2 linked regions of the Ovis aries genome follow. The protein of the gene in region 1 purifies or fractionates together with the protein of each later gene. This does not show direct contact. Links are inferred from orthologs where the notes say so. Each region holds a gene or a part of one and is shown in the gene's direction. Other genes may lie near its edges.

The links.
Region 2: the proteins of PINX1 (region 1) and TERT purify together in Homo sapiens (co-immunoprecipitation; 3 studies listed by BioGRID and IntAct, with this or other methods). This does not show direct contact. The link is inferred for Ovis aries from reciprocal best matches to the Homo sapiens genes PINX1 and TERT.

What each region holds. Positions count from the first base shown.
Region 1 is NC_056055.1:104,715,007-104,719,384, reverse strand, and holds the start of PINX1 (PIN2/TERF1-interacting telomerase inhibitor 1), read left to right. Parts: upstream 1-1,486; 5' UTR 1,487-1,625; coding exon 1,626-1,644; intron 1,645-4,378. UniProt on the Homo sapiens protein: Microtubule-binding protein essential for faithful chromosome segregation. Mediates TRF1 and TERT accumulation in nucleolus and enhances TRF1 binding to telomeres. Inhibits telomerase activity. May inhibit cell proliferation and act as tumor suppressor.
Region 2 is NC_056069.1:71,200,460-71,204,261, forward strand, and holds part of TERT (telomerase reverse transcriptase), read left to right. Parts: intron 1-266; coding exon 267-362; intron 363-763; coding exon 764-849; intron 850-1,553; coding exon 1,554-1,667; intron 1,668-2,409; coding exon 2,410-2,481; intron 2,482-2,887; coding exon 2,888-3,076; intron 3,077-3,802. UniProt on the Homo sapiens protein: Telomerase is a ribonucleoprotein enzyme essential for the replication of chromosome termini in most eukaryotes. Active in progenitor and cancer cells. Inactive, or very low activity, in normal somatic cells.

The sequences.
Region 1 (4,378 bases):
TTCCAAAGAAATCCCAGGGCTGATCTCCTTGCATTCCAAGGGACTCTCAAGAGTCTTCTCCAACACCACAGTTCAAAAGCATCAATTCTTCGGCACTCAGCTTTCTTCACAGTCCAACTCTCACATCCATACATGACCACAGGAAAACCATAGCCTTGACTAGACGGACCTTTGTTGGCAAAGTAATGTCTCTGCTTTTCAACATGCTATGTAGGTTGGTCGTAACTTTTCTTCCAAGGAGTAAGCATCTTTTAATTTCATGGCTGCAATCACCATCTGCAGTGATTTTGGAACACAAAAAATAAAGTCTGACACTGTTTCTACTGTTTCCCATCTATTTCCCATGAAGTGATGAAACTGGATGCCATGATCTTCATTTTCTGAATGTTGAGCTTTAAACCAACTTTTTCACTCTCCACTTTCACTTTCATCAAGAGGCTTTTAGTTCCTCTTCACTTTCTGCCATAAGGGTGGTGTCATCTGCATATCTGAGGTTATTGATATTTCTCCTGGCAATCTTGATTCCAGCTTGTGTTTCTTCCAGTTCAGCGTTTCTCATGATGTACTCCACATAGAAGTTAAAGAAGTAGGGTGACAATATACAGTCTTGACCTACTCCTTTTCCTATTTTGAAACCAGTCTGTTGTTCCATGTCCAGTTCTAACTGTTGCTTCCTGACCTGCATACAGATTTCTCAAGAGGCAGGTCAGGTGGTCTGTATTCCCATCTCTTTCAGAATTTTCTACAGTTTATTGTGATCCACACAGTCAAAGGCTTTGGCATAGTCAATAAAGCAGAAGTAGATGTTTTTTCTGGAACTCTCTTGCTTTTCCATGATCCAGCGGATGTTGGCAATTTGACCTCTGGTTCCTCTGCCTTTTCTGAAACCAGCTTGAACATCTGAAAGTTCACGGTTCACGTATTGCTGAAGCCTGGCTTGGAGAATTTTGAGCATTACTTTACTAGCGTGTGGAGACTCCTTAAAAAACTGGAAATAGAGCGGTCACCCTCTTTTTAAAAGTGCAGTATCTACTGAAAAATAGTTAGGGTGTTAGTCGCTCAGTCGAGTCCAACTCCTCGCGACTCCATGCCCTGACTAGCCCCGCTCTGTTCATGGAATTCTCCAGGCAAGAATTTTGGAGTGGGTAGCCGTTCCCTTCTCCAGAGGATCTTCCCCACCGAGGGATGGAAGTCGGTCCTCTGCCTTGCAGGCATTTTCTTTACCGCCTGAACCACGAGAACTTCCAGCTGACAATTTAAAAATATCAAGATTCTGTAATTAAAAAAAAAACACCCAAACTTAATAACGGTTCTTTTTAATGGATGTTCCTCATAGATATTTCACAGACACCGGAACGCTAAAGTTGAAACAAGCCTTGGAAACCATTAGTCCACCCAGTATCCTACCAAAGAGAGTGCTAGGCTGCCCGCACCCCGCCCACTCGCCGCTGCGCGCTTCAGGGGCGAGTCGCGCCTCGCTGACGTCATCAGAGTGCACCTCCCGCCGCCGCCACTGCTGTTTCCCCGGCGTGCGAGTCCGGTAGTTTCAGCTTCTCCTCTTGTCTGCCCTGCGGTAATTGCGGTCGTTCAGGTCCCGAGATCCGCAGCGTCACAGGCTCGGCGACATGTCGATGCTGGCTGAGCGTGAGTGTTGGGCGCGGAGGTTTGATCGGGCCCGAGGGTGAAGGTTCCGGGTGACACGGTGGCCGGCGGCGCTCAGTGGGCCGGAGGGGGCCGGGGGCCGGCGTCCTGGAAGCCCATCTCGGCTCTCCCTGGCTGCCGCGGAGATTTCCCAGCTCAGCCTTCCTCGAAAGTTAGCTACAGGTCTGCTGATGAGACCGAGTGTCCGCCTGGGACGCTTGTCCTCGCTCTCAAACCTGGACACGTGGGCGGTGGGTTCCAGTGGGGGGTCAGGACTCTGGTTTTGGAGACCTGAACTCTTACTTCCCCAGGCCTCAGCGTCCTCTGGCTAAAAGGAAGTTGTTGGGCTAGCAGTGAAAGTCCGTCCTTGAAGATGTATTGAATCAAGAAAAAGAAAAGCCAAGAGCTTAGAAGCAGTAAACACTGGAAGTTAGTGTTTTATAGGGGAGGCAGGACTCATGAGTAATTCTAAATAAAATCGTGGTGGTTGTGACTTTGGTAGTTGGAATTAGTAACAGTCTTCTTTGCGAGGAGTGTTGGCCGCAACGCCCGCGGTGCTTGGGTTTGCCTTTGACATTCACTATTATTTTGTGAAGTTCGTCAATTTCCTTCCTTTGGAGCGGCTTTTTAACTTTTGAATGGCACCTGTAGTTAAGGCTCCTGGCCACCAGAGAGCAGTCGTGCTTTGGAACTGAAAAGCCGGCCTTGTCCCTTTGAAAGTGTTTAGTGAACGAGAACCAGAAACAGTGTATTTAACAGACCAACAGCAACTACACAGGGACTCCGTGAAATAAATGCTGTCGGCCTCCTCTCATCTAAAGAGGTGGGGGAATGGGGGCACGAAACTAAGTGGGTTAAGGCACCATTAAGGCACCATTCAGGTTTTACAGGGGCAGAAGTTGAGATTCAGAGGAAAATAATTCACCCCAAGTCACTGAGGTAGAAAGTGACAAAATCGGTCTAGTTGTCGCTGTTTCTTTACATTCTTGTCACTAGGGTCAGCAGACTACTATTGTTTTTTAAACACGGACTTACAGAACGGAGTATGTATGTGTTCGTGTGACCCCGTGGGCTCTGTTTCTTCATCTGTATAACCAGCGTGGCTAAATCTCTCTGGGTTTTAATATTCTCTGATGTACACTTAGTTCAGCATGTACGTGGAAACATTCGCCCTAGTTCTGCTGTTCATTTATGTCTCTTTCCATGATCAGTTTCTCTGGGGCTATTAAAAACATCTTCGATTACGGTCATCACTAGGTTGTCTTAAAAAAGTCAATGAGATGGTGAATGTGAAAATAGTTCAAAGTACGGATGCACGGTGCCATCTGTGGACATCTGTAATTCAGACTGCAGGATTTCAAGAGAGTATTTTCAGTTCTCCCGCCAACCCCATGTCTCCAGATTTTCATATCTTTGGCATAGTAATAGATAACATTGGGTTGGCCAAAAAGTTCACTCAAGTTTTTTCCATACCCTATACTTTGGCCAACCCAGTATTTTGTGTTGCCTTTTAGTATGATTTACTAAATTAGAGGCATTCCCTGTGATTAGACACTTAGGACTGGTGTTCTTGTTTTAGAAGTGAGAAAATAGAAAATTAGTGAAATCCCAGCCCGCCGTTTCACTACCCAGCAATTATTTTCTCTGATAGTTTATACAATTGTAATGATTCTGTAGATACAGTTTTGTAACCTACTTTTTTCCTCTGATTCACCTTAAGTTAATATTTTCACTTCAGTAAGTATGCTGTTTCCTTTGTTTTCCCTTGCCATATGGACTAGATTGTGTTCTCTTTTATCTTCCCAGGCATCTATTCCTGTTTTAAAAATCTAGCAGTTTTCTTTATGTTTCTCAAAAATATCCTTTATCCTGCATTTCTCTAGTTGTCAAATATATTTTATTGATTTCCCCCTATTTAAGGTAAGAAATCTAGCCTACCAAAACATGAGAAAAATTTCATTTATCACTCTCACTTCTCAGTCCTTATTTAATTTGGAGTCTTAGGCCCACATTTTATTAGGACCAGTTTTCGACACTTGCAATTATTACATTCTCTAATCAAATGACAGTGCTATCATTAACGGATTTGAATGGTCATTGCATTACAATTTTATGCTGCTGTTTCCTTAATCTTGACTCTATTTCAAGATTAATCTATGCCTTAATCTATGTCTCAAAAAATGTTTTAATAAGAATACATGGGTGGAGGATTTTTTTTTTTGAGGTCTTGAATATCTGAAAGTGTCTTTGGGCTAAAAGAAAAAAAGATAAAACTGCCCCTGGCTCTTGGCACTCAAAACTCTTCTCAGGGTAAGCTGAATCCTGCCATGAACTTTGTGGTACTGGGCGTGGAGTGATCAGACCTGGCACCTCTTTTGTGTGCAGGGTTGTTTGTTGGGGTTACCCTGAAAACGTCTGGCTAGATCTCCATATAGGAGGAGTCCCTGCTAGAGGATGGTTACCCCTTTCATCCCAAAGAGTGATTCTGCAGATTCAGGACACTCTATCCTGAGTCCTCCCCTGCATTTAACATCCTTACTTGGGAAACACTGCCCTACTCCATTGCTTCCCAGGTAGCACACTGGTAAAGAATCTGCCTGCAGTGCAGGAGACACAGAGATGCAGGTTTGATCCTTGAGTTGGGAAGATCGCCTGGAGAGGGAAGTGGCAACCTACCCCAGTATTCTTGCCTGGGAAATCCACTGGACAGAGGAGCCTGGCGGGCTACAGTCCATAG
Region 2 (3,802 bases), on another chromosome or scaffold:
TTGCTGCTTAGTGGCCCTGAACCCCACAGTCTTTCTGCTCAGTGGATCCCGGCCTTGGGGAGAGGTCAGGGGGGAGGTGGGATGCACCCTGAAAACCAAGACCCCAGCCCGTCTGTGTCCACACCTCCCCGGCGCCCCCGGCGGCCTGGCATTTTCTGCCCGGTCACAGTGGCCGTGGCCAGCCCCCCAGACTCTGACCGCTGTCCTGAACACCATGCTGTCGGGGGTGGGGTGTCCACCCACTTCACCCTGTCCTCGGCCGGCAGGTGTCCACCTTCTCGGACTTTCAGCCGTACCTGAGGCAGCTCGTGGAGCATCTGCAGGTGATGGGCTCGCTGAGGGACGCCGTGGTCATCGAGCAGGTGGGTGTGGGCGCCCACACCCCGAGGGCTGGCCGGTGCAGACGCGCCCCTGCCTTAGGACACCTCCTCCCGCTCCCAGGCCTCCCGCACCCCCGCCGTCCGTGGCCCCTCTGCACTTTGCTGCCCGTCTTCTCCCTCTGTTTTGGCCTTGAGGCCACAAGAAGGTGCATCCACCTCCTCCAGGAGGGCAGAGGGCTTGCCCCGCAGACCTGCCCCTGACTGAGCCCTGTGGGGACGCACTTCCTGTGTGAGCGGGTTCCCCAGCGGGGCCTGGGCCCTCGGGGCTCCCTGTCGCACGTGGGGCTCCCTGCCGCCTCCCTGGGTGCGGGCCCATTCCCCTGGGCCACTTGCTGGCCCAGAGTGGCGTCCATTCCAGCCCAGCGCCCCGCCTGCCTCTGCAGAGCTGCTCCCTGAACGAGCCTGGCAGCAGCCTCTTCAACCTCTTCCTGCACCTGGTCCGCAGCCACGTCATCAGGATCGGGGGCAGGTAGGTCTGGGCCCCGCCTGCCCGCTCAGCACCCGCTCAGCGCCCCAGCCCCATGGACAGGGTGGCAGCGCACGGCCCTCCACTTACGGGACGTGCTCGGGGTCAGAGGGCAGCGGGGGGCTCTCTTAACGTGTGTGAAAGCGCATCTGCTCTGGTGGCACCCGTGTGAGACCCCTCTGGGTCCAGGGGGCTTCGGGCTCGTGGCCTCGGCTGTTAGAGGTCGGTCTAGACCCTGGGGCCTTCTCAGGGGTCGTGAATGTGCTCCAGGCTCAGGGGGCTTTCTGCTTAAAGGATGTGCCTTCGTTATCATTAGGTTCTGAGTAACTACAATGCTCCCGGCAAGGCAGTTCCGGTAAAATATAAAATAGCGCAGACTCCTGGGGAGGCGCGGTGCCTGCTGCGCAGCAGGGGCGAGTTCGCACGCGAGCACAGGCCTGCACACGCGTGGAAATGGCACCAGGCGGAGGAGATCCTTCTCTGCGGGAAAGGCCTGGAGCCTGACTCCTCCCCAGGGCCACCACCCCTCGTGGAGCGGGGTCGTGCTGCGTGTGGCAGGGCTTCGTGGGGGGTGTGACAAGCGTGTTGATTCGCGTCCCCAGGTGGGAGCGGTGCGCGCACACCTGTGTGTCTGCGCGCGCGTGTGCAGATGTGAACGTGAGGCTTGCCGTGGCCAGCCCCCCTGCTGACCGCGTCCTGCCCCCCAGGTCCTACATCCAGTGTCAGGGGATTCCCCAGGGCTCCATCCTGTCCACCCTGCTCTGCAGCTTCTGCTACGGGGACATGGAGAACAAGCTCTTCCCCGGAGTCCAGCAGGACGGGTACGGCCCCCGGGCCGGCGGCCGCGGCCCCCGTGGCAAAGGGCATGGCGCCATGGCGGTGGGTGTGCCCCTGTGTTGGTGGGCGTGGCCCCATGGCGGTGGGCGTGCCCCTGTGTTGGTGGGCGTGGCCCCCATGGCGGTGGGCGTGCCCCTGTGTTGGTGGGCGTGGCCCCCATGGCGGTGGGCGTGCCTCTGTGTTGGTGGGCGTGGCCCCCATCGCGGTGGGCGTGCCCCTGTGTTGGTGGGCGTGGCCCCATGGCGGAGGGTACACGGCTGTGCGGGCAGGCGCAGGCCCCGTGCTGGCCGGTGTGGCCCCGTGGCGGAGGGTACACGCCCGTGTTGGTGGGCGCAGGCCCCGTGGCGGCGGGCGCGGCCTTGTTGGGGCCCCTCTATTTCCGGTCTTGGGTGCAGAGGGTGCTACACGCGGCTGGGAGGAGGTGCTCAGCAGGCCTCGAGCAGGGAGTGAGCGTGGCTTGCCCCGTGGCCAGGGCGTGTCGGCGGCACTGAACCCGTCCGCTCCCAGCCCGACTGCTGGGCCCTGCTCGTCCCGGCCGGAGCCGAATCCCATGGACACTGGTGGGGGTTGGCTCTCTGGAGATCACTTTATCCGCGTCCGGCTGAACTCAGACAGTACACCTGGCACCGTTCACCGCCCCGGGAGGACGCCGGGGGCGCATGGCGTGTGTGGGCGTGTGGCGGTGTGTCAGGGTCTGCCCTCACCCTGGGCTCTCTCCATGCCCAGGGTGCTTCTGCGCCTAGTGGACGACTTCCTGCTGGTCACCCCTCACCTAACGCGGGCCACAGACTTCCTCAGGTGAGGTCCCCCGTGTGTGCGTCTCTGCACGCGCCTCCCAGCTCGTGTCCTGCAGGCGTGTGAACAAGGTCCTCCTGTGTGTCCCCGCACCTCTGGGGAGGGTCCTGTGGCGCGGTCCCAGGGCTCCAAGAGCCTGGCGTATGGTCCCAGCGTCCACTCACGTTTCAGGGCTGGCCTTGGGGCGCCCCTGCTCCCCTCCTCTGCCACCAGCCACCCCGGGCCCTGATCACAAGCAGCAGGTCGCTCCACAGAGCCAGACCGTGTCCAGCCTTCCGTGGGGGCCCGCGGTCCCAGCCCACCCTCCGTGGCCTGCCTGCCTCTCTGGGTGCTGGGTACGCTGCCCAGCGCCCCCGAGACACCCAGTGTGGCCCTGTCCGTCCGGCGCTCACACGGTGCCCGGCCACAGGACCCTGGTGCGTGGCGTGCCCGAGTACGGCTGCCAGGTGAACCTGCGGAAGACGGTGGTGAACTTCCCCGTGGAGCCTGGGGCCCTGGGCGGCGTGGCGCCCCTGCAGCTGCCGGCCCACTGCCTGTTCCCCTGGTGTGGCCTGCTGCTGGACACTCGCACCCTGGAGGTGCATGGTGACCACTCCAGGTGAGTGACGGGCCCGGGGCCCTGGGGGGTCAGAAGCCACACGGTGGACGGCGGGAACTGGCTCTCCGAGTCAGCGGTTTTCTGAGCGTTTTTCATGAAAGGGAGCCACGTAGTGGACTCGGGCGCAAGCGTGTTCCCGGCGAGGCGTGTGGCCGTGACCCGGAGAGGCAGGACCTGCCGGACACGAGCCCCAGGTCTCACTGGGCTCTGGGGTTCATGGTCCCCTCTGGTCCGTCAGGGGTGGGGCTTCAGGGCACGTGTTCGGCTCTGTTGGTCCCTCGCCGGCCGATCCCTCCTGCGGCCTCTCCGGGCCGTGTGGATGCGTCTGCGCCCCTAGCACCACGTGGTCACCCTCTGTGCTCAACGTCTCTTCCTGGGCCCCCGTCCCCGTGGGTTAGGGCCCGTGTGCTCAGCGTCTCTGCGTCTCTTCCTGGGCCCCGTCCCCATGGGTTAGGGCCCGTGTTCAGCGTCTCTTCCTGGACCTCCGTCCCCGTGGGTTAGGGCCCGTGTGCTCAGCGTCTCTGCGTCTCTTCCTGGGCCCCGTCCCTGTGGGTTAGGGCCCCCCTTATGCGCTCGTTTGACCTTAGTCATCTTCTCAAAGGCCTTGTCCCCGAACGGCCGCGGGGGCGGGCTCACCCTGTGAATTTGGGGATGCAGTTGAGCCCCTGGCGGCCCTCTGCCCCCGCCTCACCCTGGGATGGTGCAGCGAGCCCCAGGCTTTGCACA